Oryctolagus cuniculus: one gene and its partners. The protein of the gene in region 5 interacts with the protein of the main gene of each other region in a pairwise test. Links are inferred from orthologs where the notes say so. Each region holds a gene or a part of one and is shown on either strand. Other genes may lie near its edges. The genes, in order: KLHL12, SNX22, BAHD1, SYT6, DVL3, TNFAIP8L1 and WT1.

What was found.
Region 1: the proteins of DVL3 (region 5) and KLHL12 interact in binary tests that used the Homo sapiens proteins (3 or more experiments, as listed by UniProt). The two-hybrid records come from large-scale screens. The link is inferred for Oryctolagus cuniculus from reciprocal best matches to the Homo sapiens genes DVL3 and KLHL12.
Region 2: the proteins of DVL3 (region 5) and SNX22 interact in binary tests that used the Homo sapiens proteins (3 or more experiments, as listed by UniProt). The two-hybrid records come from large-scale screens. The link is inferred for Oryctolagus cuniculus from reciprocal best matches to the Homo sapiens genes DVL3 and SNX22.
Region 3: the proteins of DVL3 (region 5) and BAHD1 interact in binary tests that used the Homo sapiens proteins (3 or more experiments, as listed by UniProt). The two-hybrid records come from large-scale screens. The link is inferred for Oryctolagus cuniculus from reciprocal best matches to the Homo sapiens genes DVL3 and BAHD1.
Region 4: the proteins of DVL3 (region 5) and SYT6 interact in binary tests that used the Homo sapiens proteins (3 or more experiments, as listed by UniProt). The two-hybrid records come from large-scale screens. The link is inferred for Oryctolagus cuniculus from reciprocal best matches to the Homo sapiens genes DVL3 and SYT6.
Region 6: the proteins of DVL3 (region 5) and TNFAIP8L1 interact in binary tests that used the Homo sapiens proteins (3 or more experiments, as listed by UniProt). The two-hybrid records come from large-scale screens. The link is inferred for Oryctolagus cuniculus from reciprocal best matches to the Homo sapiens genes DVL3 and TNFAIP8L1.
Region 7: the proteins of DVL3 (region 5) and WT1 interact in binary tests that used the Homo sapiens proteins (3 or more experiments, as listed by UniProt). The link is inferred for Oryctolagus cuniculus from reciprocal best matches to the Homo sapiens genes DVL3 and WT1.

What each region holds. Positions count from the first base shown.
Region 1 is NC_091444.1:18,666,275-18,670,337, forward strand, and holds the start of KLHL12 (kelch-like protein 12), read right to left. Parts: upstream 2,801-4,063; 5' UTR 2,745-2,800; coding exon 2,615-2,744; intron 1,340-2,614; coding exon 1,101-1,339; intron 1-1,100. UniProt on the Homo sapiens protein: Substrate-specific adapter of a BCR (BTB-CUL3-RBX1) E3 ubiquitin ligase complex that acts as a negative regulator of Wnt signaling pathway and ER-Golgi transport.
Region 2 is NC_091443.1:87,211,748-87,215,764, reverse strand, and holds the start of SNX22 (sorting nexin-22), read right to left. Parts: upstream 2,801-4,017; 5' UTR 2,675-2,800; coding exon 2,600-2,674; intron 2,342-2,599; coding exon 2,258-2,341; intron 1,970-2,257; coding exon 1,865-1,969; intron 1,566-1,864; coding exon 1,471-1,565; intron 906-1,470; coding exon 838-905; intron 452-837; coding exon 330-451; 3' UTR 1-329. UniProt on the Homo sapiens protein: May be involved in several stages of intracellular trafficking. Interacts with membranes containing phosphatidylinositol 3-phosphate (PtdIns(3P)).
Region 3 is NC_091443.1:63,632,837-63,636,336, forward strand, and holds part of BAHD1 (bromo adjacent homology domain-containing 1 protein), read left to right. Parts: intron 1-1,449; 5' UTR 1,450-1,463; coding exon 1,464-2,889; intron 2,890-3,500.
Region 4 is NC_091438.1:56,259,353-56,262,852, reverse strand, and holds part of SYT6 (synaptotagmin-6), read right to left. Parts: intron 1,479-3,500; coding exon 1,358-1,478; intron 1-1,357.
Region 5 is NC_091435.1:93,733,659-93,737,911, reverse strand, and holds the start of DVL3 (segment polarity protein dishevelled homolog DVL-3), read right to left. Parts: upstream 2,801-4,253; 5' UTR 2,531-2,800; coding exon 2,370-2,530; intron 1-2,369. UniProt on the Homo sapiens protein: Involved in the signal transduction pathway mediated by multiple Wnt genes.
Region 6 is NC_091447.1:59,885,495-59,889,335, reverse strand, and holds the end of TNFAIP8L1 (tumor necrosis factor alpha-induced protein 8-like protein 1), read right to left. Parts: intron 1,847-3,841; 5' UTR 1,843-1,846; coding exon 1,282-1,842; 3' UTR 501-1,281; downstream 1-500. UniProt on the Homo sapiens protein: Acts as a negative regulator of mTOR activity.
Region 7 is NC_091432.1:33,511,590-33,515,885, reverse strand, and holds the start of WT1 (Wilms tumor protein), read right to left. Parts: upstream 2,801-4,296; 5' UTR 2,392-2,800; coding exon 1,944-2,391; intron 1,594-1,943; exon of another isoform or gene 1-1,593. UniProt on the Homo sapiens protein: Transcription factor that plays an important role in cellular development and cell survival. Recognizes and binds to the DNA sequence 5'-GCG(T/G)GGGCG-3'. Regulates the expression of numerous target genes, including EPO.

The DNA of each region.
Region 1 (4,063 bases), on a different chromosome or scaffold from region 5:
CTTCTCTCCCCCTCTCTGTTGCTCTACCTTTCATGTAGATAAAAATAAACATTTAAAAATAAATGAAAATAGATTATAAACATATATCAGAAGCTGGGGAGGCATAGTAGTCAAAAATTGTTTGGGGAGGGGCCCGAGCTGTGGCATAGTAAGTTAGGCCTCCACCTGCAGTGCCAGCATCCCATATGGATGCTGGTTTGGAATCCCAGCTGCTCCACTTCCAGTCCAGCTCCTCCTAGTGGTCTGGGAAGGCAGTAGAAGATGGCCCAAGTGCTGGGGTCCCTGCATCCACAAGGGAGACCTGGAAGAAGCTACTTGCTTCAGATCGGCCCAGCTCCAGCAGTTGTGGTCAAGTTTGGGGAGTGAAACAGCAGATGGAAAACCTCTCTCTGTCTCTCCCTCTCTCTCTCTCTGTAACTTTGCCTCTCAAATAATTAAAAAAAAAATTAAAGCTTAGAAAAATGTGAAGGCAAATTTTATAGCTGGGGGCCAGTGCTGTGGCGTAGCAGGTAAAGCCACCGCCTGCAGTGCTGACATCCCATCCAGGCACCAGTGCTCCACTTTCCATCCAGCTCTCTGCTGTGGCCCAGGAAAGCAGTGGAAGATGGCCCAAGTCCTTGGGCCCCTGCACCCACGTGGGAGACCCGGGAGAAGCTATCAGCTTCGGATCGGGTGCAGCTCCGGCCATTGTGGCCATCTGGGGAGTGAACCAGCGGATGGAGGACCTCTCTCTTTGCCTCTGCCTTTCCTCCTCTCTCCGTGTAACTCTGACTTTCAAATAAATAAATAAGTCAATCTCTAAAAACAAACCAACACAAAGTCAATAACGTCTCATTACCCACTAAGCTGTCCTAAGCACTTGACACGTAATTTTCTGTCTTCGCCACAGCCTTGCGTGACGCACTGGGCAGCACTATTATCTCTAACTCAGAGGTGAGAAAACGAAGGCACAGGCATGTGCGGATCTCACTGTGAATAAGCCTGCCTGCTTACACAGCGTCTTACAAGACTCCACTACCATATGAAGCTTGGGTTGTCTTCCTCGGTGAGGCGAGGCGAGGCGCTTACAGGCATGGGCTGCACGGGTGCGGCCTGCTTACCTCGCTGGTGAACATGGCGCAGAAGTAGTCGCTGCAGGCAGCCAGCACGATCCGGTGGGCGGGGAAGTCTTTCTGCTCCACTCTCAGCGTCACGTCGCAGAGGGTGCTGCTCTTCCTGAGGGCGTTCATCGAGTTGAGGATGGATTTAGCATGCGTGTTGGTCATTATGTCTTTGGGGGCCATCCTGCCTCCCATCAAGCAATATGGAGAAAGAACAGAGGGGGCCCTGGGTCCTGGAACTGCAAGAGAAGGCAACAGAGGCACACAGGCCATCAGCTTCCCAGACGGGGGCTGAGACCTCTGCAGGCACAGACGCCCACAGGGACAGCCCCTGCGCTCTCTGGGCTCACCGCCATCTGGCCGCTAACTCTTCTAGCTTAAGGAGCAGCCCTGCTTCCTCTCAAGTCCTCTGTCATGAGTGTCCCTGCCACCTGCAATTTATTATAATCGGTGCTCAACTGTATTCTAAACAGAAAGGCCTATGTATCTTCATGGGATTGTCTCAAGTGATAAAAAGGTAAAATCCCTTAAAGGTGTGACATCATGGCTATTTAATATTCATAAGAGAATAAGTATTCAGAGGGTGGGTTCTTGGTTCATATGGACCCTAGCAGGTACACAATTAAAATTTAACAATTAAATATAAGAAAAACAGTGTATTCAACTTAGAACAAGAAAGGCTAGTATTGGTGAAAATGAACTGGTTTCCAAAGAAATACAAGATGCAAAGAATTATGCATCAGGATTTCCAAATATAATTACATTTCTTCTGAAAGTGAAATTTCAAACGACAACCTGGGACCTGCTTTGAATAGCAGAGACCACGCAAGCCATCTGTGGTCTCCCCAGAGTCGTCAAAACTCCTCAGTAGGAGTCTTCCTGTTCTACACGATTGGGAACGTCCACCAATGCTAACACATCAATATTCACAGCACTTCTTCTATACTCAGAGAACTTGTCAGGATAGAAACCTAAAATCCCTCTACTGCCAACTTCACCGCCATCGCTGCCGTGGCCTGTTACAAGTCAGCCCTCTGTCCCATGGCTCCCCACCCACACCGTCAACCAACTGCAGATAGAACTATTTGAGAAAAAAAAATCATGGGTATTATACATGCACACGGTTTTTCCCTTGACATTATTGCCTAAGCAGAGTATCAAAACCACTTACACAGCAGTTACAATGCATTAGGTAGGCTGCATGCAAACACAGCGTTCTACAGGAGACCTGAGTGCCAGCCTATCTGGTATCTGTGGCAGCTCCTGGCACCAATGCGCTGCAGACACCAAGGGACGGCTGTGCCCCAAAGTTCACTTGTGCGCATCAGCTCAGTGATTCCCTACCTAACAGCAACTTAAGGAACAGGTGCTAGTTCACAGCCTTTTTTTCTCCTTTGGCTTCAGGCACAATTTCTGGGAGTGAAATGGGGGGTGGTCATTAAGAGAGTACATCTTACTGGGAATCCAAAACTTTCAAAAATAATCCAAGAAATTAAAAAAAGTTCGCAACTCACGGTCAGGATGTTTGAGGAGCAAAAACAAGACCCCAAACTCATCTACTTCTGTCCATGGTCCGCACATCACTCTACAGGATCCACCCAGCGACTGTGCCACAGGCACTTTGCACACCAGGCGGTGATTCATCAGAGCGAGCGTCCTGCACAAAGGTCTTCCTTCGCTCAACCGAGGGCCACCCTGGGATGCAAGGGTCCGAAGGACCTCGCGCGGGGACAGCGGCCCCCCCAGGCAGCCTCAGCACAGCCTCACCCTTACCTTTCGGAAGGGCCCTATTCTAGAACCTCCGATCACACCTGAACACGGGGGTTCCACCACGGCAGGTTGGGGGCGGGGCCGGGGTGTCCACTCCTGGTAAGGGTCAGTTCCCGAGAAGGAAGGAAGGTCTTCGCCGCGGACCACGCCGGGCGCTAGGCTGGCACCGCCTGGCAGAGGTAGCGGAGGGGCGCGGGTCGCCGGGTGCCGCAGGCCAGAAGCCCCCCCGCCTTCCTCCTCGGAGGGAGCCCCAGGAATGGGGGAAGGGCCACCACCTTACGAAGGCAGGGGCTACCTGCCGCCACCTCCGGTCCACTCACCTCGGCTCCCGGGCCCAGCGGCCGCGCCGAGCCCGGCCACAGTCCCTGGGGACGGGGCGGGGAGCGGGGCGAGCAGGCGGCTCAGCAGGAGCCGGAGCGCCGCCGCCGCCCCCGCTCGGAGGCTCTGGGGCCGTCACCGTGGGCGTCCCGGCTCCGGTCCCCGCGGCCGCGCGACGTGATGACGTAATGCCAAGCGAGGCCCGCCCCCCTCCTCCCCTGGGTCGGCATCACGTGAGGCGTCGTCGTCACCTGACCCGCATGTGCCCGGGGCTGGCTTCGGCCAGCAGCAGGAGAGGGGGCGCCCGGGGAGGGGATCGCGCAGGCGTCCAGCTCTGTGATGCGCTGAAACCGAGTTTCTTTCTGCCCGCAGCCCACGAGGCAGGCCCCACGGGGAGCGTTCCCAGGGCTTCTAGGCGAAGGCGCTGACTGCAGGGGCTCCGTTTTACCTGCCAGGGATTCGGGTACTGCCTGTCATCCAGGAAACCCAGAGACACTGCAACTGTCTCAAAATCCACGGTCCACAGTGGCGGCCTCGCGCCGACTAGTGCTGTGGCGAGAACCCCGAGACCTCGGGCGTTCTCTGCGTCACAGTGGGGCTTGCGAGGGTCTCGGAGCAGCCCTGCCGGACCTGTCTGCCGTCCCCGGGGGTGCAGGGAGGGGGCGGCTAGGCCTTCTGCTTCTTCTTGACTTGGACGCATTGTTAGGGGCCGGGGCTCCTCAGTTCCACCTAAGTCAGTGCCCACACTGCTTTCCTGTGCGCGGCCTCTGATGCCTAAGGTTGGTGATACCCCAGCACGGTGGGCGGCTGCTACTTTGCTTGGTGTCTCTGTCTTCCATAAGCAATCTTCCCACCCGAAGACTCCCTGGTTTACA
Region 2 (4,017 bases), on a different chromosome or scaffold from region 5:
GTGTGGGCTGGGTTCTTGGCGTGCGGGGACTCCCTGCTCGCCATGGGTGCCTGGCCCTTTGATTTAGGTGTTCCCACAGAGGCAGGTAGGCAGGCACGGCGTTCAGCCCTTGCCTTAAAACTGCCGCTGCTTCTCCAAGTGCAGACACACCTGGACCTGTCACAGCCTACCTCGAAATTGACCATTCGCGCCTGGCTCCAGGAACGCGTGAACTCCCCACCCCAGCTGCCAGTGCAGGCCGACCCCTGCACCAGGACCGGAGGACCAGCCCACGTCCCTGAGACAGAGCGCAGGGGCTGAGGCACACGACTGTCCCGGCGGGTGGCTGCTCAAGGCGTGGGCGGCAGAGCAGAAGGGTGACCGGCAGCTTTTGGCTGAGCCGAGCTGGGGCTGATGCTGAAGCCATAGAGTCCCTGGAGCACACCATTCACCACCATGTTGGGCAGAGGTTCTGCAGGGGAGAACGGGAGAAGGGGTGGAGGGCTGTGGGCGGAGAGGTGCAGGACAGGTCTGGCCTCAGGCCTGCGGCTCCCTGAGCCACTGCCCACCGGCTCATGCGTCCCTGGGGAGTAGGAGCTCCTGCAGCTGTGTCCCCAAATGAAGCCTTGGCATTCCAGGTCAGTTTCATCAGCTTGGTAAGGCCGGGTTGTAACAGAATTTTAGACCAGGGGAACCAGGCTGAATTCATTCACTGGTGTTTACAGTGCAGGTTCAGGTGCACAGAGCAGCAGGAGCGAGGGGCCACCCAGGGGTCCTGAGAACTGGCAAGCCTGCCCCTACCGGTCTACCCGGACTTGGGCCTTGAGAATGGGTCACTCGCGGGTCAGAGGAGCTCACCTGGGGAGGGGGCACAGAGGTAGGGATCCAGGCGGAAGCTGAGGACAGGCCGATGGTGCAGCTGCGAGCTGGGAAGAAGTAGGGTCGTGAGCCAGGAGGGAGTGGGGAAGGGAAGGGCCAAGTCCCGCAGGGATGGAGACTAGGGGTTGAGATCCTCAGAGGCCCACAAAGGAAAAGGTGACAGATGTGGGCTCTGGAGGCTCCATCAGGAAAGGCTGGGCCCAGGGGGAGGCCGGCCAGGCCCGAGGCTGCAGGCGCGCCTCCCTCCCTGTGGCCACCAGGGGGAGCAGGAGCCGGTCACTGCCAAAGGTTCGGACCTGCCTGCCGTGCCCCGCAGGAGCTCCCCCAGGGAGCAGAGGAGAGAGGCCCTATAATTGCCGGGGGATGCCCCGGGGCCCGTGAGGAAGGGGTGGAGATGCAGAAGCCCAGAACTTCACCTCCCAGGGGACCCCTGCTTCTATTTGTGACAGCCGGTTCCGGAGGTGGCTGGGGTTAGCCAAGGCTGTCCAGAAAAAGCCCCTCTGTGGGTCCAGACAGCTGATGAGGGGACCAGGCAAGTACATTGGCCTCCAAAACCTTCCCTTGCTGGCTTGCTGCCGAAAGCCCCTGACCCCCATCACGGGCTCTCCATACCCCCAGCTGCTGGCCTTGGGGTCCGTGGGGAAGTGCCGAAGCCTCAGGAACTCCAGTAACTCCTTGGGCACATCCTGGTTCAGGTACAGGACGCCCTGGAGGACAGAGGACAGCAGCCGCCGGCGTGCAGAGCCCAGTGCAATCCGGAGAATCGCGAGAGGGAGAGCAGAGCATTAAACCCGGGGTGGACAGCGCAGGCCGGACCCCCCAGGTGGCCTGGGAAGTACCCCCCACTCCACTTCCCGTAGCAAGGGAGCACCAGGCGCCACCTGCCCCCCGGTCCTCACTCGGTCTTTCCAACCACCGAGGGCCGTGCGGAAAGCTGAAGCCCGAGGCAGTGAGCAGCATCCCTGCGTTGCGGGCGTCCCCCAGCGCCGGTCAGGCCGCCACACACCTGGATATAGGCCTCCAGGCCCTGCCGCCGCTGCTCCAGGCCCCTGGTCCTCCAGTTGGGCAAGCGTTTCGAGGGGAAGTCCGGCACTTTGTACAGTTTCTTGATCTGCCGAGGTTACCGTGGTGCCCTCACAGCCCTTCCACGGAGCCCCCAGCCTACCCGCGCTCCGCACGCCTCCCCGCACCCCTGCCAGGACCCGGCCAGTCGCCTGGGATCTGCCCCCTGCGCCCTCCCTGCCACGGGCCCCCAGCAGGGTCTGCGCCCTCTAGGGACTGAAGCAGCAGCGGGGGCGGCCCAGGCTGGGACCCGAGTTTCCCCCTCTGCCTCCCCGGGGCGGGCCCAGGCTGGCGGGGGCGGGGGGAGGGGGTCGGCCAGGGGGCGGGGCCGCCTCACCCGCTTGTGCAGCGCGTGGAACTCGCTGTAACGCCGAAGCACGGTGTGTCTGCGCCCGCTGCACTGCACCTCCACTCGGAACACCTGGCGGGGGGCACGCGTGAGGCCCCGATGGAGAGCCCCGGGGACCCTCCCGCACTTCCCATCCTTAGAAAAAAGGGCTGGCGGCCCCGCCCCTCTGCTCGTGCGCTCACTCAATAGCTGGGGAGCACCAGCAGCCCCGGAACCCTGGGCAGGGCAGCCCCCGACAGCCCAGCCCGGGGAGCCCCGGTCCCCACTCTGCTCGGGGCGAGGACCTCCAGCGGGTCCCCGCGCCCCTGTCCACCCCGCGGCCCTGCTCACCATGTGGCCTTTCTCCGGGCTCTGCCGGGGCCCCTCGGCTTCGGGCCCCACCGACGGGATGTGAACTTGCAGCATCTGCGCCGGGGCGCCGGCGCCGGCCGCTCTGTGCCCGAACTCTGCAGCCGCCGCGCGCGGACCCCGCCCCGCCCCTCGGGCCCGCAGGCCCCGCCCCGCAGGCCCCGCCCCGGGCGTTCCTCGCGCCGCGGGGTCCTGCGCCGAGACGATTAGGCGGGGAGCGGGGGGTCCGCACGGCGCCCGCGTCCGCGGCGCGAGGAGCGCCTCGGTGGAGCCCTGCGTTCGTCAGACCCTGATCGAGTGCTCAGGGGCTGCCAGGAACACGCGCAGCCCTGGCGTCGCCTATTCTTTGTTGAGTGCCACAGCCTGCGAGTGGAGGCGGGGCCCGGACCTCGGCACCTGCTCTGGGGCCAACCAGGGACGTCCCTCGCTTTCCCCAGCCCCTTCCCTCCTTTCGGTCTGGCCCCTGGGATCTAGGCCTGGAGACTCCAGCGGAAGCCACGCCTGGGCAAGGCTTGGATGCAATCCAGCGCCCGTGTCCGACTTCCGCGGCGCCCATTCACTCGGTCACCCATGAATTCATCCACTCTCGCTCTCAGCCCCAACCTGCTGCCGGCCCGCTTTGCAGGAAGCGGCGATTTAGAGACCCAAGCTGTTCTCTGCGGCTCAGACAGCCGGGATTTCAGGAACTGCGTGCACCTTTGCTAAATAGAGGTAATAGTCATCTAAAGGCAAAAGTTCGTGGGAAGTGGAACTAAAGGTTTTTTATACCAAAAATTGAAATCCGAAATGCATTTGAGGCGCTCCCTCATATGAATGGATTTCACATTTGTTTGCACCAGAATAAACTTAGCTTTCACTTCCATGTCCTCCTTCGGGACAGTGTACACAAATTGAGGTGATCCTGGCTAAGCCCTTAGCGGAGTAAGTGCTGACTTAATGGCCGCTGATGCGGGCTTGGCAGGGGGCAGAGGGCCTGTGGGATGTGGCAGCAGGCTGCTCTTGCCCACCCTTCTGGGAGGGTGGGGGGATTTGACCCCAGAACTCTGAGGTCATGGGGAGTGCCTGTGCCGCTACCTCTGGCCCCACTCTGAGCTGTCCCGTGAGGAGCGGGGAGAGGAGGCGCTGCTTCCCAAGAGCTCACGCCGTGCCGGTCTTGGCTGGGACCTGGGAAGCACAGGGCCTGTCTTGAGGGCTGGGGCAGGAGATCTCACCCTGTTAGTGCGGAGGTGCTTCTGAGCTGGAGCGGCTGGGCGCATGACCCCTAGTGGCTAGTGGACCTCACCGACCCCCACCCCCCGCCCGTCCACCTCCAGATCCCACCACACCTCAGAATCAGGAAGCTAAGGCTTCCCAAGGGAAACAGCCCAAGCAAGGGGAAGTTCTGTGCTTTCATTTCCTCT
Region 3 (3,500 bases), on a different chromosome or scaffold from region 5:
AGTGGCAAGTCCCCGCACATGGCCTGAGCGGAGCCTGGCAGGCTGCCTCCCCTTTGCAGCTTCCCTGGCCACACTGCCCTCAGCCAGTTTCTCTGAGCACTCTCTGGTGCGGCAGGTCTCCTCAGAGAGGGTTCCTGGCCACCCCAGCCCTGGCCCAAGGCCACAGGAGCCAGCTGGAAGGAACTGTATGGGAACCCTCAGGCTTGGGACTTTGAGGGTTAAATCCTGGCCCAGCAGGGACTGCTCCGAGCTCCTGGAGCTGAGTGAGTGTGAATAACAATAGCAGTGGGAAGTTAAGCTGAAAAGCCTGGGCTTGCTGGGTGGGGAGGGGTCGCAGGGGTGCTGCTGGGGGGCACGTTGTCTGGCACCTTACTTGGCAGGCCTGTGCTTTGGGTTGGGGAGTGGGTAGGAAGAGGACCCCTCAGTGGTCTCTGACCACCAACGGCCCCTCCCCACCGGCCTCTGCTGTTCTTCATTGGCCATGCCAGCTCCCAGCACACAGCCAGCTCTAGCCTCGCTGAACTGGGTCCAGCCTGCTCCGGTGTATGTTGGCCTGTTTTGCCAAGCAGAGTTAGGGGATGATGATGCATGTTGTGGGCATCCTTGGTCAGCGGCTCTGGGCTGCCTAAGACTTTCCTTGCCTGCTCCTGCCTGGCATCCTGCCTGCAAAGAGGGAGAACCAGGGAACAGGGCAGGGCTAACAGGGCAGCCCCGCTTTATCTTCTGCATTAACTCTCCTCTGATGAGTTCTTTTTCCCAACTCTCGGTGCCTGGCAGGGCTTTGGGGCTGTAGCACAGGCCCAGCGTGCAGCCCTGGGTTTCCCACACTCAGGAGCCTGCTGATGCCCTCCCCCCCACTCTGGGTTACACGTCCCTGGAGTCTGAGCCTCCATTCATTTGGCTTGGAGGGGTGGCTGAGGCCTCCCAGACTCCCGTCTTCTCCAACCCAGGCACACGGCAGGCACACCCAGGCACGGCCATCCAGCTCCATGTGCTAGGTAGGGAGTCCTCAGATGCTGCACTTCGCCTGCCCCAGAGCCCAGCAGGCAGGTTCTTCACTTGCTGCCCGTCTCCTCCTCCTGCAGCCTCTCTGGGAAGCCCAGATTCAGGGGAGGGCTGGGTAATGATCTAGCAGTGCTCATGACAGGCACTGATGGAGGGACTCCTGTCGCCCAGGCTCCCAGCCTGCCTCAGCGTCTTCAGAGCTGCCCCCTGGTAGGAGAAGACCACACAGAGCAAACAGAAAGCTGTGCCTCCATCCAGCTCCTCGGGTCCCTGACCCTGGGATCTGCATTGCTCTAGGAGCTCTCCAGGGGCTTATTTGGGCTAAAAGAGGAGGAGCAGTTCCCTGCTCAGCTGCTCCACTGGACCTTAGCACTCTAAAGGGGGGTCCTGGGGAAGCCCAGGCAGGCCAGGGGCACTCCTCATTGCCTGTCTTGTGTCCTGCAGGTGAGAGGGACTCCATGACACACACTCGGAGAAAGTCCCTTCCCATGCTGAATTCAGGCCTCCCCGGCCGCCGGGAGCCCCTGCAGATGGAAGACAGCAGCATGGAGCAGGGGGCAGAGGGTGTGGAGCCAGGTATGCCTGACAGCCCTGGGCACCTCACAGGGCGCCGCAAGAACTACCCACTGCGTAAGCGCCCACTGGTTCCTGAGAAGCCCAAGGCCTGCAAAGTGCTGCTGACCCGCCTGGAGAATGTGGCTGGTCCACGGAGTGCAGACGAGGCTGACGAGCTGCCCCCTGACCTGCCCAAGCCCCCCAGCCCGGCCCCATCCAGCGAGGACACCAGCCTTGCCCAGCCCCGAAAGCGGCGCCTGGCCTCCCTCAATGCAGAGGCCCTCAATAACCTGCTGCTGGAGCGAGAGGACACTGGCAGCTTGGCAGGCACCCGCCGCAGTCGGGGAGACCCCCAGCGCAGCCGGGACCGCGACCGGGCCGCTGGCGCCTGGCCTTCCTCCAAGAAGCGGCCCCGGCTTGGAGACCTTGGGGAAGGCAATCGGGACCTGTCCCCAGAGCCAGCTCCAGATGAAGGTGCCCGTAGAGATGGAGACCCAGCACCCAAGAGACTGGCTAGCTTGAATGCAGCGGCCTTCCTGAAGCTGAGCCAGGAGCGCGAGCTGCCCCTGCGGCCACCTCGGGCCCACACAGAAGCGGATGGGCGCTCGACCGAGCTCCCGGCACCCAAGGCGCCAAGGCCAAAGTGGGCCAAGATCAATGGCAAGAACTATCCCAAGGCCAGACAGGGGGCTGGCTCTGGGGAGGCTGCAGGCCCACCGGGCTGGCAGGGACACCCTGATGAGCCAGGGCCAACTGCCACTCCTCGTGAGCCATCCAGCCAGCCACCTTACCAGCCCCTGAGTAAGGCTCTGGAGAACCCCTTGGGGCTGCGCCCACACCTGCCCCTGCTGATGGGTGGGCAGGCAGCTCTGAAACCGGAGCCTGGGCGCCCAGGTGAGGAGTCACCTGCCCCCAAGCAGGAACTGCATCAGCCCTCTTTTCCTGCCCCTCAGCTGTCCCCGCTGCCAATGCCTGGCAACTCTGCCGACTACAGTGGCCTGTGTGCTGGGCCTGAGCTCACCACACTGGGCAGCTTCTACCTGTACTGTGGCCAAGAAGGGCTGCAGTGTGGTGGCTACTCCGCATGCCCCATGCTCCCCGAGGGCAAGCTGTCCCCAGTGGCTGCCCCTAACGAGGGGCTGCTCTTGGCCCCAGGCTCAGTGCCCTCAGGCACCCCTTTCCAGCACCCTGCCTGGGGTCCTTCTCGCTACTGCTCCAGCGAGGACACAGGGATGAGCGGCTACAGCATCTGCGGAGTGTTGCCCCTGTCTCTCACCCACATTGGCACTACCTGTGGCGGCTGCCCCTACAAAATGCCTTTTGCAGCAGGTAAGCCTTCCTGGGAATGGGGAGCCTCTGAAACATGGCGTCCAGGGTGGGCTGTGGTTCTGGGCAGGGGCTTGGTTTCTAGCCACTACTACAAGCCAGAGAGCTTTGAGAAGGGAGGGCTTGCCTGTGGAAATTTCCTGGGGAGTGGCAGCCTCGAAGTGGCCGAGAGAGCAGGAGGGCCTCGCCGCCTGCCTCGCTGAGATACCTGTCTGGACTCTGAGTCACAGCTTACACACTGATTGGGGCTTTGACCAGGTTGTCCCGTGACCCTACGGCCCTCCTCAAGGAAAGCTAGAATTCCTTAGTTTGCAGAAGCCCAAACCTTCTGCGTGCCTACTGGGCTCAGCCTTCACAGGGAGGTTGGTAGGTAGTGCCGGTGGCAGCTTCGCCTTAATGTACAGGCCTGAGAGGTGCAGTGCCCAGACCCAGCATCTTTTTTTCTTTTCTTTTCTTTTTTTTTTTTTTTTGAAAGACAGTTAAAAAGAAAATGTCCCCTCCATTTGTTCACTCCCTGAGTGGCTGCAACAGCCAGGGCTTGGCCAGGCCAAAGCCAGGAGCCAGGAGCTTCTTACGGGTCTCCACATGGGTGTAGGGGCCCAGGAACTTGGGCC
Region 4 (3,500 bases), on a different chromosome or scaffold from region 5:
GGTGTTTTCAGCTGCATCGTGGTCTCTCTGTGGTAACTGGGATTATATCAAGGCGTCTATCAGGAAATGAATAATTAATAAATACAAAGGAAATACAAGGGAAATCTTCAATATACTTGCATTTCCAGCCAAGTTCAGAGGCACCTCCCAAGTGGTAACAGAGGCTTCCAAGTGGTAACAGGAATCATCAGAGGATCTTGGGCAGGGGCCTGGGGGTTAGAATGAGCCTCCCCATCCTTGCTCTTCTGAGTGCAGCCCAAACTGCTCTCTGTGTACAGGGACGGGAGGTGGGGGGTGTTCAGGACTCAAGCAGCAAGCCACTCCTTTGCTATTTTGAACTGATTTTGTTTTAAATTTATTTGAGAGGGAGGGAGAGAGCGAGCGAGGCGAGAGAAACACTCTTGCGCACTAGTTCACAACAAAATGCCCACAATGGCCTGGGAACGCCAGGAGCTGGGAACTCTGTCCAGGTCTCCCATGTGAGTGGCAGGACCCCAATCACGAGAACATCACGGCTGCCTTGCAGGGCGCACACAGGCAGGAAGCTAGAGTCTGGAGCGGAGCTGGGTGTCAAACCCAGGCACTCTGATGTGGTACAAGTGGGCGTCGCTGAAGCGCCAGGCCAAACGCCTGCCCCTCTATTATTCCCCTACTCAACTGTCTTCCCCTACACCGACCTGCGGAATCGTGGCCGAGGGACTGAACCTCTGACCCCATGTCCAGCCTGCAGGGCGCTGCAGGTGCACCTGAGCGAGCCTTTCCTTTGTTGTAAAAACAAGGCTACATCTCCGGCCTTGCTCTTTGAGTGCCGAGGCAGAGGCCAGCAGCCCTGCAGGAGAAACTCATGCAGAAATGCACTGTGCTTGCCAGGGCATTTGCTCCTTGACCCAGGACACAGGCTGCCGCCCCAGGCCTGGGTGCACCTGTGGACATCTACGCTCCCACTCCACGGAGCCCTTCTGTGAGTCCTGGGGCCCCTCATATACCTCAAAGACTGTCCTCACTTTTTTTTTCTTTTGCTCCTATGGATTTCTTTCTTATCATCTCCTTCCTCTAAGAGAATGATTGAGAGCAACAGCTAATCTCTACCAAGTGCTTATTATAATGCAGTCAGGTACAATTCTAAATATTTACATGGCTTAATTTGTTCATCCAGGCAAGGTATCATCATTCCTGCTCTTCAGACTCAGAAACCGAGGCATCTACACAGCGGGGAGGTGGTGGGAGCGGAGCTGCTGCCCACGCCGCTGCCCCGCTGCTGGTGCCCAGCTCTGAGACACTGGCAGGTCTTAGCCAGCCTCCTCAAACCCCCTTCTGCACGCTAAGGTCTGGCCGGTGGGGAGGGGCGGGGAGGCACCTGAGTAGCCTGTGATGTCCATCGCCTTGAGGTTCCGGCACTTGATCACGGTGAGCGTGAGCCTGCCCGCAGTGGGCAGGTAGCACAGGGAGAACATGATCTCCCCCAGGTCCACGCTCTCCTGCAAGGAAGCACACGAGAAGGCGGGTGAGGGGCGTGCGGCAGCTGCCGGAGGAGAGCCCAGGGTCCTGGCAGGAGATTCTTGGGGTACGGTGCCATGTGTGTAAGACCCTAGAGGTGGCCACCATGCTGGGAGTAACTGGGGAGAGAAGGCAGAGATCACAGTGTCACCCCCACCACCAGAGTTTGCCCCCTGCGTGGACACCCGCTCTTGCTCTGACCAGATTCTGGGCTCAGAGCTGGCCAGCGCCCTGCCCGACGTGCGCCCCTTGCCTGAAGCCTGCAGCCGCCGACATCTTGGGGGGCCCCAGTCCTGTTCTGCAGCTCACTGAGCCCCTGGATTTCCCGCCCACCCAGGTATGTATGTGTGGTCCCGGCAGTGTCCCCAACAAGATCCAGGCTGCAGCCCACAGGGGTCCCCTCTGCGGCCCTCCTGCTTCTGTCCCCCAGCCCAGCGGCTCGTCATCAATCCCTCTGCTTTGGCAGCGTCCACGCCCAGGGCTCTAACGTGCAATCTCGGCGTGAGAGCGCAAGGCAGCGGTGCCTGCCCGGGGCGCGCTGCTCATGGGGGAGGCCCACAGCCCCCACCCCACACTGGACATCACGTCCTGGACCCCTAGGAGTTCTTCAGGAGCAGACACGGCAGGGGCCATGCGCTCTGCTGCCTCTCCTTCCCCGCGCAGCGCCAGGAGCAAGGTTCCCTGGGCGATTCCGAGAGGACACAAAAACTCCTTAGCGAGCCTGTGCATGGGTCGTATGGAGCAGCGCCTTCCAGAGCCCGTCCTCTCTGCTCCCCATGACGAGTGGGGAGGGGCGCTGTCACTGAGCATCCTCCCCCCGCAGATTCGAGGTCCTCGGGGCTCTGGGATGGTGGAGCCAGGCTGGACGCCAGGGTTTGGGTGGCTCTGACTTCAGGCGGGGCCACCTAGTCATCTGTTCATTCATTTACCCAGTGATCACTAAGCACCTGTGATGTACTAGGTGCTGAGAGGGGAGACAACGAAACAGACACAAATCCTTGCCTTCATGGGCTTTCCTTTCATCAGGGCCGAGCAGGACAAGAGAGCTACATAAGTACGTGGGACAGGCAAGAGCATCAAGAAGAAAAAAGGCAGAGAACGCCAGGGAGGCTACACTTGCTGAATCTTCAGGCAGGGAAGGCCTCCCGGAGGAGGTGTCTTCTCAGAAAGAGAGGAGTCAAAGGTGACTTTACGTTTCTTGTCCACACCTCACAAAGAGCCAGTCTCTACTGAAGACTCGCTGGAGTCCTGAGCTGGAGTCCTCACCAAGCCCTCTCCCACCTCCTTCCAGAGCATGTAGTCCCAAGGTTCTCCTCTAGATGGCATTAAACCCACCGTTTCCACCCCACCCGGAACAGATCCAGCAGGAGCACAAGGTGAATGAATACCCCAGTTCCCCAGGAGAGGGTCTGGCTGCTGCCGCCACCTCCAGCACACAGGACCCTGCAGCCTCCACAGCACCTGCGATCAAGACCAGCACCCACGGAGCTCTTCCACGGTTACGTTCCCACCTCGGAGGCTCGCTGGGGCCCTGCGTGGCAGGCATTGTGTCTGCTACTCCCTGGGCTTCGTGCACTCGGTTTAAACACTCTGCCCCGCCAAGGGAACTCCCCTGGGAGTCCCTTGGGCGAGTGTTCATGCCCTCCACCTGTGAGCTCCCCTTCCCGCTCACCCAGGAAGCGTCTCCAGGTAACCCTGGCTCCTCTACCCCTTGGGTGCCGCTTCAGCCACCTGATCCATCTGTGTGCACTCCCGCGCTCTGTGGTGAGAGTACAGTCCCCACGCCTCTCACACGCAGTGTAGCCTAGTGGGGTGCAACCAGTTCAAGAAGACGCCAGGGTCCCCAGTCTCCCCAGTCCCCAAATGAGGGAGACACAAACTGCCCCGTGCCCCAGCCTCGCAGGAAGGTGACAGTTCCTGTGCCATGCAGGAAACAAATCCTTGTCCACCTGGCCGAATGGTCCTTTTCCTGAGGAAGAAGGAGAAGCTCTGGCCCCTGCCTT
Region 5 (4,253 bases):
CTTCGGATCCAGCTCCCTGCTAATGTGCCTGGGGAAGCAGCAGACGATGGCCTAAATACTTGGCCCCTGCCACACACTTGGGAGACCAGATGAAGCTCCTGGCTCTGGCCAGGCCTAGTCTTGGTGATTGAGCCCATATGGGGAATGAACCAGCTGATGGAAGATCTCTTGGTCTCTGTCTCTTCTAACTCTGTCTTTCAAATAAATAAACCCTTTTTAAAAAAATAATAATCTTACCTGGAATTGCATGACTATGGCTTTAGATTTTGGAGCCAAATTTCTGATGTCTAATCAAGCTCTGCTGCTTACTCGCTGTGTGACCTTGGACAAGTTACTTGAGCTTTCTGTGTTCTCATTTGTAAATAGGATATTATGACCTATTTCATAGGGCTGCTATGAGGATTCAATGAGTGAAAATTTGAACAGCATTAGATCATTGCCTGGCACACTGGAAGGCCCACAAAGTTTGTCAAATAGATGAAACATATATACGCTCCTCAGCCGTCAATCCTCTGTGATAAGACGGCCCTGCCAGGTCTCCTGCTCATTTCCTTCAGGGGATACAAACAAGATCAATCACCTCCACTTCATTTTTAGCATTGTTCTCAACCCTGCTAGCATGGCCAGCTCTGATACCTCACAGAGAGAGGCTGTATGCAAGATGGCTCCAGGTGGCACATGAATAAATGTTGCTCAGTTCAATACTTATCTTTAATGTATTTTATAAAGAAATATACCTAAGAAAACTGGCTCTGTAATTTAATGTCTTTGAGTCAAGCTAAGAAGAATACAGAGTGGACTGACAGTGGACTTAAAGAAAAACAGTAAGGAAACAGTGAGCAGGGAGTCCCAGGCTATGGCTGCAGTTAGGGAAAGGGAGAGGCAGCCCCCAGAGTCTAAGCTTCAGAGGCGGGGTCGGTGAAGGGTGGAAACACAGGCCTAGCCTAGTTCCTCCAGGCATCTGGCCCTGTGCACTGGACTCTGGCTGCTTTCCCCCAATCCTGTATCCCAAGGTGGCATCCAGGTCTCTTCCAACCCCAGTCCTTTCTTGCCAGGCTAAGGCACCCAGCCCTTAGCCCCTACTCCTTCCAGATTAATCCCTCAGAATCTACTCATCAGGGGTGTCTGACACCAGACAATCATTACCACACCAGGAGTACCCCACCCCAGGGCAGGAGCACCAACAACACAAACAAGAGTGAGCCCCACACTTCCCACTGTACACAACACTTTCACGCACACACTTCCAGGGGCTCCTCACACCCTGAGTTCCAGGGCAGAAGGTGACAGCCAAACATGCCAGACAGACACAGAGGGTGCGTGCTTCCTGGGGCTCCCAGGGCCAGGGCCCTGGGAGGGCAGCCAGACTGACGAACAGTGGGGACAAGAATGCCTCCCCTCACTCAGCTCTGGGGCCCCAGGCTAGGGCTGAAGAGGCCGCCGCTGTGAGGCCCAGGGCCCAGTAAGTGTGGGGCAGGCTAGTGTGGGGGCCTCCCCCTCCCCCAGTCCCCAGGGAGTTGGGAGGGGGTGTGTGAGGGGATCAGCCAGGCTCCCCCTCCCAGGCCAGCTGCTAAGAACCTTTCTCCAACATTCCATCCCCTCTTAAAGGGGAAGTGGTTGCTTCCAAACTCTGTGGGTCCAGAGCCCTGCAGCAGGAGGAGCCGCCACCAGGGAGGGGGACAAACACCATGAGCTCTTCCTGGCCCTGCCATCCAGGTTCTGAGGCCCTTCCCAAAGTCCACCTTGGCCACGGCGGGACAGGAAAGGCCCCAGTGCCCAGGGATCAGCACCTGGGTTAGTGAGGACTGCTCCTCAGGGGTCAGGCACTCTGTTCCCTTGGCAATCCCCGAACTGCCCGCGGGCCAGAGGGGAGACAGCTAAATAAACATCAGGTCTACAGGCCCAGCTCCCAGCCTGGCGCCGAGCATCCCCCAACGCCCCCTCCCCCAGTTCAAAGTCCCACGGCGGGGCCCTCAGATGCAGGATACTCCAAATATGGGGAAGGCGAAGGCCGAGTGCCCAACACCCAACACCCCAAGTCTGCACTAAAAAGGTGGCTCCCTTGCAGGACGGCGCTGGGGGACCAAGGCTTTGGAATTGGGTGTGCGGGGGTGTGTCCCTCCGTGTGGTCTCTGAGGAGGTGGGGGGGGGGCTCGACGGGCAGAAATGGGCTCTGGGAGAGGGGACGTCCCCCCAAACTAGGAAACCAAGATTCCCCCCCCCCCGAGAGGTGAACGGGGAGTGTCCAGAGCGGCCCGAACCCCGGCCTTTGAGAAAGCCAGGGGGTCGCTCGCTGGAAGCCAGGGTGACGCGGGGAAAGCCGGGGGAGTTGAGGCCGGCCCCCGAGGCAAGGCGGGGGCCACGCTCACCCGAAATCGTCGTCCATAGACTTGAAGAAGAACTTGTAGCTGGGTCGCTGCAGGACGCCCTTAAAGTCCGCCAAGGTGACGCGCTCGGCGGGCAGGGGCAGCTTCACCAGGTACGGCGTCTCCTGCCCGTCCAGGTGGTAGATGATCTTAGTCTCGCCCATGGCCCCGGCTCGGGCCCGGCGGCCCGCGCGCGGCCTGCTCGGGCGGCCGGGCCGGGCCTCTCGGGCGGCGGCGGCGGCGGCGGCGGCGTTCGGCGCGGCCCAGCGGCTCAGCCCAGCTCGGCGGCCGGCCGCGGCGCCAGCTCCCTTGTTCTCCCGGCGCTCCCGGGTCCCAGCGCCGCCCGCCGCGGCCGCAGCCGCCGCTTCCGCCCCCCGCTCCCCCGGCTGGGCTGGCGACCGCGACTCTTCCGGTGGCCGCGGCCCGCCGGGCTCGGCGCTGCGGCCCGGCCGCCTCCCCTCCCCCGGCCCCGGCGTGGCCCCGCCCCGGCACGGCCCCGCCCCCCGCCGCCGCAGCCGCCGAGCGGCGCGGCCAGAGCGGCAGATGGCCGGCCCCGGCGGACTCCCTGGCCTCCGTGACCCCGACCGCGCGGCGGCTCCCGGGCCCCAGGCCCCCGGGGCGGAGGGGCGGATCTCTCGGGACTGCCGCGTCCCGGGCTCCCGCTGGAGCGGACCGGCGGTCCTCGCTGCCCTGCCCGAGAGGGCTGGAATGCAGGGGGCGCTTTGGGCTCCGGAGATGGTCTGGGGGAGGGGGTGGACCTGACTGGATCGCGGGAGGACATTATCTCAGCGTGGCCCTCCAGGGTCCGCTGAGGAGCCCCGCCGCGGTGACTGAGCTCCCTGAGGGCCTGACGGTCCCGGGATTCTGACGTCTCCTCAGAACCTCAGCGTCTGGGAGCAAAGTAGTGGCTTAGGTGAATGGATTGCATGAAGAATGAGCCTATGCGTGCATCACTGGGCCAGTCAGCCTCGAGTGGGAGCTAGGTATAATCGGTTCCTAACAGGCCTCCTCATCCCTTGGCTTTTAATTAACGTAATACATTTCGAGTGCGTACTAAGGGCAAGACATGGAGATAGAGCAGTAGCATCCAGGGCCTTCACTCACCTGCCAGGAAGCACCGAGGCTTGGAAATGAATAATTTCTTAGTGACAAATGCTATGGAAAGATACAATGGGGTACTGTGATAGTGACAGGAACAGGAGGACTCTGGGTAGTCAGAGAAGGCCTTTTGCATTTGAGTCAAGACCTAAAAATAACAAGCAGGAAGCGGCCATGGGATGGGGGCAAGAGTATTCCATGGCCACTTAGAAAAGCTCAAGGCAGGAAGAAGCTTAACTCGCGTGAGGAGCAAGAAGGCGACTGTGCCTAGAGGGACTAGGTGAAGCTAGAAAGGTAGGCAGGGCGAGATCACACGCAGGGAGATCACAGGCGGCAGTACGGACACTTTGTACACTTTGCCAAGTTAGCAAGCAGCACTTTCACTCACCTCTTCCACTGGGAAACCTCTCCACATTCCATAATGCTTTCCCAATATCCTTAACATTCATATGATCCTGGATATATATTTATTTGAAATGCAGGGGAGGAGAAGGGGAGGGAACAGGAAAGAGAGAGAAAGATCTTCCATCTGCTGGTTCATTCCCCAAATGCCTACAATAACCAGGATTGGGCCAGGTCAAAGACAAGAGGCCAGAACCCCATCCATGTCTCCAAATATTTGAGCCATCATTTGCTGCCTTCCAGTGCATTAGCAAAAAGCTGGCATGGAAGTGGAGGAGCCGGTACTTGAACTAGGCACTCTGATGCAAGATGTGGGCATCCCAGCTAGTGATTTAACTACTGTGTCAAATGCCTTCCCCTATATTGGACAAATTTTTGACTCCAGGG
Region 6 (3,841 bases), on a different chromosome or scaffold from region 5:
AGGGCAGTGTGCAGCCGGCGCCGAGCCCCGTGTGCTCCCCGGGTGGGCGTGTGTTCGGGCCTCCTGTGTCTGTTTAGACGTCCTTATTAGAGAGAGTGCTCGCGAGCGGCCTCCATCCACAGGTTCACTCCCCAGACGGGCCAGGCCGCACCCGGGAGCTTCCCGGGCTCCCAGTGGGCGCAGGGGCCCAGCACTCAGGCTGTCCGCTGTCTCCTGGGCCACAGCAGGGAGCGGGGTGGGAGCGGAGCCGCAGGGACTGGAACTGGAGCCGATGCTGCAGGCGGCGGCCTCACCCCTGCGCCACAGCCCCTCTGTCACCTCCGTAACGGGAGGGCCTGGTGGCAGTGGCGGCAGGAGACCAGGCGTGCGGGAGGAAGGCGCTGCCCAGGGCTCTGGGACGTGGACCAGAGGGACAGGCTTGGGTGCAGAGACCACACCCAGGCCCGCGAGGGCTCGGGGACCGTCGGTGCCGTAAAAAAGAACGCGCGTGGGTTTCAGAATTATTTGCGCCAAAATAAATGTGCTTTTTTAAATGTTTGTGCATTCAATAAACTTGAAAGGCAGAGGGAGAGAGATCTTCCGTACAGCGGTTCACTCCCAGGAGCCAGCGGCCAGGCCAGGACCAGGCTGCAGCCGGCAGCCCCACCGGGTCTCCCGCGTGGGTGCCGGGGCCCAGGGTGCGCGTGCGCGGGACCCGAGCCCAGGTCCCCGGCACGGCTTAAGCAGCTGCGCCACAGCCCCCGCCCCAGACCCGTCTTTTAATTCCGTTTTTCCCACAACGCAGTCTGCGGGCCCCTCCTAGGTGGCCTCCGAGTTTGGAAAGTTAGGATTATGGCAGGCGCCCCCAGCCTGGGGATAACTCGCCCATCGCCCCGTCGGGCAGGCCAGGGAGAGGCAGGAGGGGGCCCAGGCCTGGGGCCGGCATGGGATGCTCCCCGCGCACCCGGGGCGGCGCCGCAAACGCGCGTAGCCGAGGCCCAGGGCGGGGCTGGGGCTGACCAGGGGCGGGAACACTCCGCGGGAAGCGGATGGGAAAGGGGCCACAGGAAGCCCGCGCGGTGCCTGGGTTCAAGTCCGGCTGGGGCCCCTCCGCCCTGGTGGGGGAGCCGGGGAGGGGACCCGCGGGCGGGCGGGTGGCCTCTGCCTCTCCGAGTGTCTTGGACGCCCCGGGCAGTGGCTGCTGCAGAGAAACCGCCGTGGGCTCCGATCAGTTCCACTGCCCGGCCGGCCCCGGGGTCCCGCCTCGCGCGGCCGCCAGCCCAGGGCCCCCTGCCCGCAGGGTCACAGGCGGTCCTGGTCCAGCATGCGGCCGAGCGCGTCACAGAGGCCGCGCAGGTGCGAGCGGTAGGGCTCGGCCGGGCCGTAGAGCGCGGCCAGGAAGTCGCCGTCGGCGAAGTGGCGGAACACGCGCTGGATGCGGCCGTGGGACTTGGCCGTGAGGTGCGGCCCGGCGGCCTGCAGCAGCAGGTCCCGGCACTCGAGCAGGCCCGCGGCCAGCACGCGCCGGTCGAAGGTGAAGGCCACCTGCTGGAAGCTGAGGGCGGTGAGCGCCAGGCTGCGTGCCCTGCGGCGCAGGCGCTGCAGCTGCGCCAGCTCGGCGGCCGCCAGCTGCCCGGCCCGCAGCAGCACGTCCAGCTTCACGGCCACCTTGACCAGGTCCTTGACCAGCTTCTGCGCCTCCTTGCGGCTGCGCGTGAACTCCTTGGTGGCGCGGTACAGCTCGTCCAGCGCCTGGCCGCTCGCCTCGTCCACCAGGGCGGCCGCCATGGTCTTGGACGCCATCTTGCTCAGGAGCTTCTTCTGCGTCTGCAGGGCCAGGCTGCGGGGGCTGAAGGCGTCCATGGCCCTGCGGCAGGGGGCAGCGCAGGGGGCAGCGCGTCAGGGGCCAGCGGCTGGGGCGGGCCGAAACCGCAGGCCCCGCCCCCAGGCCCGCTCATCAGTCTCCCCCCTCCCACAGCTGGGGCGGGGCCGCCAGCCCCAGACCCCAGCTGTGCACGGCCTCTCGGGGCGCCCCCAGAGCGGTGCCCAGGGCTTAGGCCTGGAGTCAGCTGGTGCGTGTGGGGGGGTAGCAGCCTGGGCAGTGGGTTCCTGGGGAGGACACCGTGGGGCCCTGGAAGGACCCTGGGGTGCCGCTGCTCCCGCCCAGGGAGGGGCCGGGCAGGTGGCCAGGGAGGACCGGCCAGGGCACAGGCGCAGGGTCCGTCCCTGGGTGTCCCGCCCACCCCCACCCCCACCCCCCCATGCATCCTCCCGGGTCCCAGGACCAAGCCCACGCCTCCCCCGGGCCCCAGCCCCGGCGCCTCCCCGTGCAAGGCTCACCCCCAGTTCAGCCTGCATGGCCGGCCCCTGAAGTGGCCAGGCGTCTCCTGGCTTTGCTTCCCGCACTGGGCTGGGAGGCAGCAGGCCTGACCCTGTGTCCTCAGTCCAGAAACTTCTACAGGCAGAGCCGGGGACCCAGGACCCCAGGAGGGCCTCAGGGGCGCCCGGGAGCCCCCAAAGCCCTGTGTGTGAGCTCCGACCCCTGGGGACGTCCTCACCTGCCCTCAGGGGTCAGGGCAGGCCAGCGTTGACCGGGGCCTTCCCTGCCGGCTCCCTGGTCCCCAGACCCCGGCTGCCCCCGGCCCTGGCCACCGGCTTGGGCCCAGCTCATGGTCTCTGCCGGGCGCTGGGCTGGTGGCCCATTCTGCAGGACGGAACACAGAGGCTGGGAGACACTGAGCCACCCCCCTCGGCACCTCGGCACCCCAGAGCCCAGCCGGGGGCCCTGACGGATCAGGGCCTGCTCCCAGCGCTGGCCTCCCGAGCAGGCAACGTAATCGCCGCCTGCCTCAGTTTCCCCGTCTTATAATGGGGGTGAGCGGAGGCCCCAGGCACCCGCTGCCTGGAGCCACGGTGTCCAGTGTGGTCCCACCTGATGCCCTCTCCGGCTTTCTCTGGTGCCTTTCCCGCCGCCTGGACTCCCCCTGCAATGGCTCAGCTCCCTCGAATCTCGGTGCCGCCATCACCTCCTCTTAGAAGCCCACCTGGATTCCCCGGGCTGGTGCCCCTCCCCCAGTCACGGCGCTGGGCCTGGGGCAGGGGTGGGCTCTGCACTGTTCCCACGGAGTCTCCTGGGCCCGGAGTCCCGAGGTTCCCTGGGGAGGAGGCCCAGGCCCTGGACCCCCGAGGGTCTTCCTGCCCGCCCTGGACCCGCCAGCCCTGGGTTGGTTCCCAGGCTCCGTAGAAGGCCCGCAGGAAAAGGGGCGGGGCCCAGCAGCGGCCCCCAGCCCCGTGCACACCTGGGCTGCCAGCTGCACGCCCCCGCCTTCCTCCCCACGGGCCCATTGTTCTGACGGCCGTCCCGGGGGAGCGGGCTAAGGCCCAAAATAAATGCCGGCTTCCTTCCTGCCGGTGACGGTGCAGGGCCAGGCGTCGGGGCCACCGAAGCAGGGTGCTAAAGTTGCGGGGGCTCGGCCTGAACACTCACGCAGTCGCTCAGCAAACACTGCCAGCGTGTGCAACGGCCAGGGCTGGGCCAGGCGGGAGCCAGGAGCCGGGAGCTCCATCCAGGTCTCCCATGAGGGTGCAGGGGCCCAGCACTCGGGCCCTCACTGCGGCCTCCCGGGGTGCATGCGCGCAGGGGGCTGGATGGGAAGAAGAGTCAGGACTCGAACCCAGGACCCCCCCGATATCAGAGGCAGGTGCTCCAAGCGGTGTCTTAACCGTGGGTCCAAATGCCCACCCTCCTACTGGGCAGGTTAGACGTGGGGTTAAGAGGTGGAGACGGCGCGGGGGGAGGGGTCCGGGACATTCGTGCCGTGTCCTGAGCCAGGTCCACAGCCCGGAAAGGCCAGGGTCAGAA
Region 7 (4,296 bases), on a different chromosome or scaffold from region 5:
CTCTTGAAGCCTGTCCACTGGAAGGGCCTTATAACTGTCCCCAGGAGTGCAGTGTCCACTGGTTGAGAACCTCACCTCTGCCCCTACATGTAGGTGGAATTGATGGAATCTAAGCACCTGCCCACCAGGAGACTGGACACTGGGGCCCCAACCAAAGCCAGAGAACCCAGGTTTCAAGATTCGCAGGGCAGAACTGAGACTCAAAACGGAGATAAAGGTGCGGCAGTCTTTGGTTCCCCCGGGGTCTTGGATAGGAAGCTTCTAGGGTCTCTCCAGATAACACAAGTCCACCCACGGACTTGTGTCACACACCTGCCGGGCGGCGGCGCGTCTGGAACCCTGGGCTGTTAAGGTACGCTACTCTGTCCTGGACGGAGAGCCCCGCGCTGGGAGAAGTCAGACTGCCACTTCTCTCCCCGACACCTCTGAGGGCAGACCCAACCTCCAATTGTCCATCTCAACTCTCCTCTGACAGAGGGGGAAACTGAGACCTGGAGATTCCATAAAGGTTAACAGCAGCCTACAGTAAGAGGTGGAGCGCCCCGAGAACATGAGTCTCTGAGAGCCACAGTAAGTGCTTCCAACAGCCCTTGCGTTCCAAAAACTTCATTCCCGAGAGGCGGAGAGGGGCCCTGGGGTCTGCCTAAGGTTCCTCCGTGGGACCCGGTTCCCAGATTTCTCTGGAGGAAACTGCATGGTTTCGGTTTTGCCACGGCTTCGGCTGGGCCAAGGGCTCCTGGGTGGTCGGGAGAGCCACGCAGACCCTCTTTCAGAAGACGCAGGTGAGAGCGAGAAGAGCCAACCTCTTCTTCCGTGCCTCAGGGTACTTCGTGCCTCCTGGTACTTCGGGAACACGGTGCACAACAGTGCTCCTCCTACCCCACTCATTCTAGAACCATCCCAGTCCTGGGCCTGGGCGAGGTGGTGATCCAGGAAAAGCGTCCGCCATTGCGTTTCCTAAAACATCCCATCAACCCGAACCGGTTTAAGGTTCTCAACAGCAGAGACATGCAAGGAGAATAAACGAAGGGCCCGGACCACAGGCGCTCGTTCTAAAGGAGTCTGCGCTGGTCGGGACCAAACGTCACGCGCGTGGACGCCCGCGCGGGTATAAGAGAATCACCGGCCGACGTCGCTCGGGGGGAATCGACTGAAGACGGCGAACAAGCCTGCCTTGTCCTAACGCATCAGGTTGCAAACTCTCTCCCTGGTTTACATTACGAGGAGGCGCGCCAAGGGCATCTGCTCCGGCCTTAAATGCCTGCGGTAGCATTTGGAATCGGGTAAGCTGGGTTCCTGTCCGTGGCTGGAGCCTCGCGTGGCCGCTGCCTGAGCGAAACCTGAGAGACCGCCTAAGGCGCGCACTCTCCACCAGCACAGGCGCGGCTCAGGCAAGCCACCTGGTCACTGCCCCACGGTTCTTCCTGGGTGCCAGTGTGTGCCAGCACCGTATTAATACCTGGGGAGCTCCTGGACATTTTGGCGCGGCGGGGCGGGGAGGCAGGCCCGGGATGCTCACCCGCGCTGCTCCCAACCTGACCCCACCATCTACACACGTCTAAAAAGTGCAATGCCTAGTGATAATTTGGAGGCGCCAAAAGCAGGGGAAAAAAAAAAAAAAAAACAACTCGTGGCCCGAGGCCTGGCCGCACTCTGTACCCTTCCCCTTGTTCCATTCCCGTGAGGGGAGGATTCGCGGGGCCCCAGGCGGACTCCCGGCTCATGCGAACCGCTAGGCTCCCCGCTCTGCCGCGCTGTGGAGAATGTCGGGAGCCTCTACTGGCGTGCGCTCCCCCGCTCCCTGGCCAACGCTTCCGCCACCCGCACGGCCATAGCGGAGGCTGCGGGGCCAGAGCTGAGATCCGGGACGGGGGAGGGGAGAGGAGAGGCCACGCGCGGCGACAGCTCCGGCGCCGCCGCCTCGCGCTCCCCCGCCGACTCACCCTGGTTGCGAATAGCTGGCTGGCTCTCGAGGCAGCTGGGCAGGTATGGTGCGTTGGGGAACATCCTGGCCTGGCCAGAGGAGGCCTGGCTGGGCGGAGGAGGGCCGAAGGGCCCGTAGCGGCAGGCTCCCGCTGTGCCGGTGAACTGGCCCGAGAAGTGGACCGTGAAGGCGCTCAGGCACTGCTCCTCGTGCGGCTCCGCGCCGCCCCAGCTCGGCTCCTGTTTGATGAAGGAGTGAGGCGGCGGCGGCGGCGGCGGGGGTGGCGGCGGAGCGGGCGGCGGCGCGGGGCCGCCCAGCGAACCGTAAGCCGAGGCGCCCGGGGGCGCGAAATCCAGCACCGGCGCCCACTGCGCGGCGCCGCTCACTGGCAGGGTGCAGCCGCCGCCGCCGCCCAGCGAGGGGACGGCCGGCAGCAGCGCATTCAGGTCCCGCACGTCGGAGCCCATCTGCTGCAGCTCAACCGCGGACGCCCCGCGGCCTCTCCGGCCCTGCGGACGCTCGGCGCTGGACTCGGCCGCACCTAACTTGGCCCAGATGCCGCCCGGGCCCCGAACTCCCGGCTGCTCGGGCTGCTGAAGGCACGCGGGCCCCGAGCAGAGCGCGTGCTGAGATGCCGGCTCCGGGGCACACGTGGAATCCGGCTCCTGCGGCGGGAGGAAGTCCAGGATCGCGGCGAGGAGGCGGCAGGGCCCCGGATCCTGGGCTGCCGTCCCGGCTCTGGGTGGCTGGGTGGGTGGGTGCGTGAGTGGGAGGTAGGGCGGGAAGGGGGGAGCCGACAGGCGGTCGGCTTGCGGAGAGCCCCCGGGTGTGGGCGCTGCCTTGAACTCCTTACCCCAGCTGCCTGGCTGCCCCCAGCTTCCCAAAGCTCAAATAAGAGGGGCCGGCGGCGGGGGAGGAGGAGGAGCCTGGAGGCTCGGCCGCTCCATTCACACCGCAGCCCTAGCCGCGCTGGTCAGCGCGCACAGCTCCTTGGGGGCGCCCTCGCCGCGGGGGCGGGGGGGGGCGGGCCTGAGGGAGCGTCCCTCGCCGAGACACCCTCCTCTCCCACCCGCCACGCGCTCTCAGCAGGCCTGTGTGGCGCAGCCCTCCCCCCACCGCCCCATCCTAGCTTTCAGGAGTGTGGGCGCCTCAAGGCCGCGGGCGAGTCCCTCCAGGTAAGCCGTGTGACCCCCTCTGCATCCTTGGAGCTGGGTGGTTCATCCTAGAGGGCGGGCTGGAGGGAGGAGCAGGTGGGATCCAAGAGGGCGGGAACTGAAGGGGAGCGAAGAAAGAGGCGGATACCCTGGGTATTTGCGCCCGCGACTTCGGCTCTTGCTTTACGAGCCGTCGAGTTGGGATGATGTCCGTAATCCTCGGGTCACTGGGGTGGGGGCGGCCCCTTTGTGGATTCCGGGGGTCGAGACCCAGGGCAAAAGCGCCCCAGCTGGGCATCAGTTACGCTAAGCGGGGCGTGTTGGATCGTCTGGGCGTGGGTTAGTTGGTAAGGTCTGAGAGGGGGGCGGTTGCCGCCTACCTAAAACTGCTGCCAGCGGCCCGTATTTTCCTTTTCTCCCAAGGAGTATCCAGTTGTGCGGTTAAGCCGGGAAAAGCGAGGCTAGTTTGGGAGGAAAGAGAACCCTTGGGGAAAACACCCGGAGCCTGCCTATACTCTGGCCGGAGCATCCCGGCGCCCAGTTGAGGGAGAAAGAGGAATGGAAATGGGGAGGGTTCGGATGCGATGCTTGCGGAGAGAGGTTGGCTCCTGAGACCGCTCTGCCAGGCACTGCCTCTGCTTCTGGTCAGCAAAGCGATGGACACGAGGCCCAGGACGCAGCGGGACAGGGAGAGCCTGCCTCGGCTCTACGTTGCGCGGCAGTGTTCGCACCGTGGGGGGCTCCGAGCGCGTGGCTTCGCCAATTAGACTCCTCCCTCCACTTAGGCGCTGTCCCGCGGAGCCCCGCGCGCTAGAGCAGGTGTTGGGGAGTTGGTTTTGTTTTGTGAGTTCTTCCAAAGTAGTGAAGATCTATCGGGAACCAGCGTATGGGTAAGGAGAAGGGCCGGGAGCCCGAAGCGGGGAGCGCCTCAGCGGCGCACAGACACGCAGAGCGCCAGGAGGCAGCGGCGATGGCGCAGCCTGGGACTGCCAGGCGCGCGGGGCAGGAAGCAGCCGGTTGCTGAGAGGCCTCGCGCGGGAGGCCGGGGCTGGGGCCCGCGGCTCCAGCGGCGCCTAAGTGAAGCGACCATGGAGGTCGTCGCAGTTGGTCAAAGAAGCCGAGTGCTCCGGTCGCCTAGACCCGTTCCACATTTCTTAGACTTCGGTTTTACCCTGCGTTGTGTGGACGCAGCCTCGGTCAGCTCCGCCCGCTCAGGAC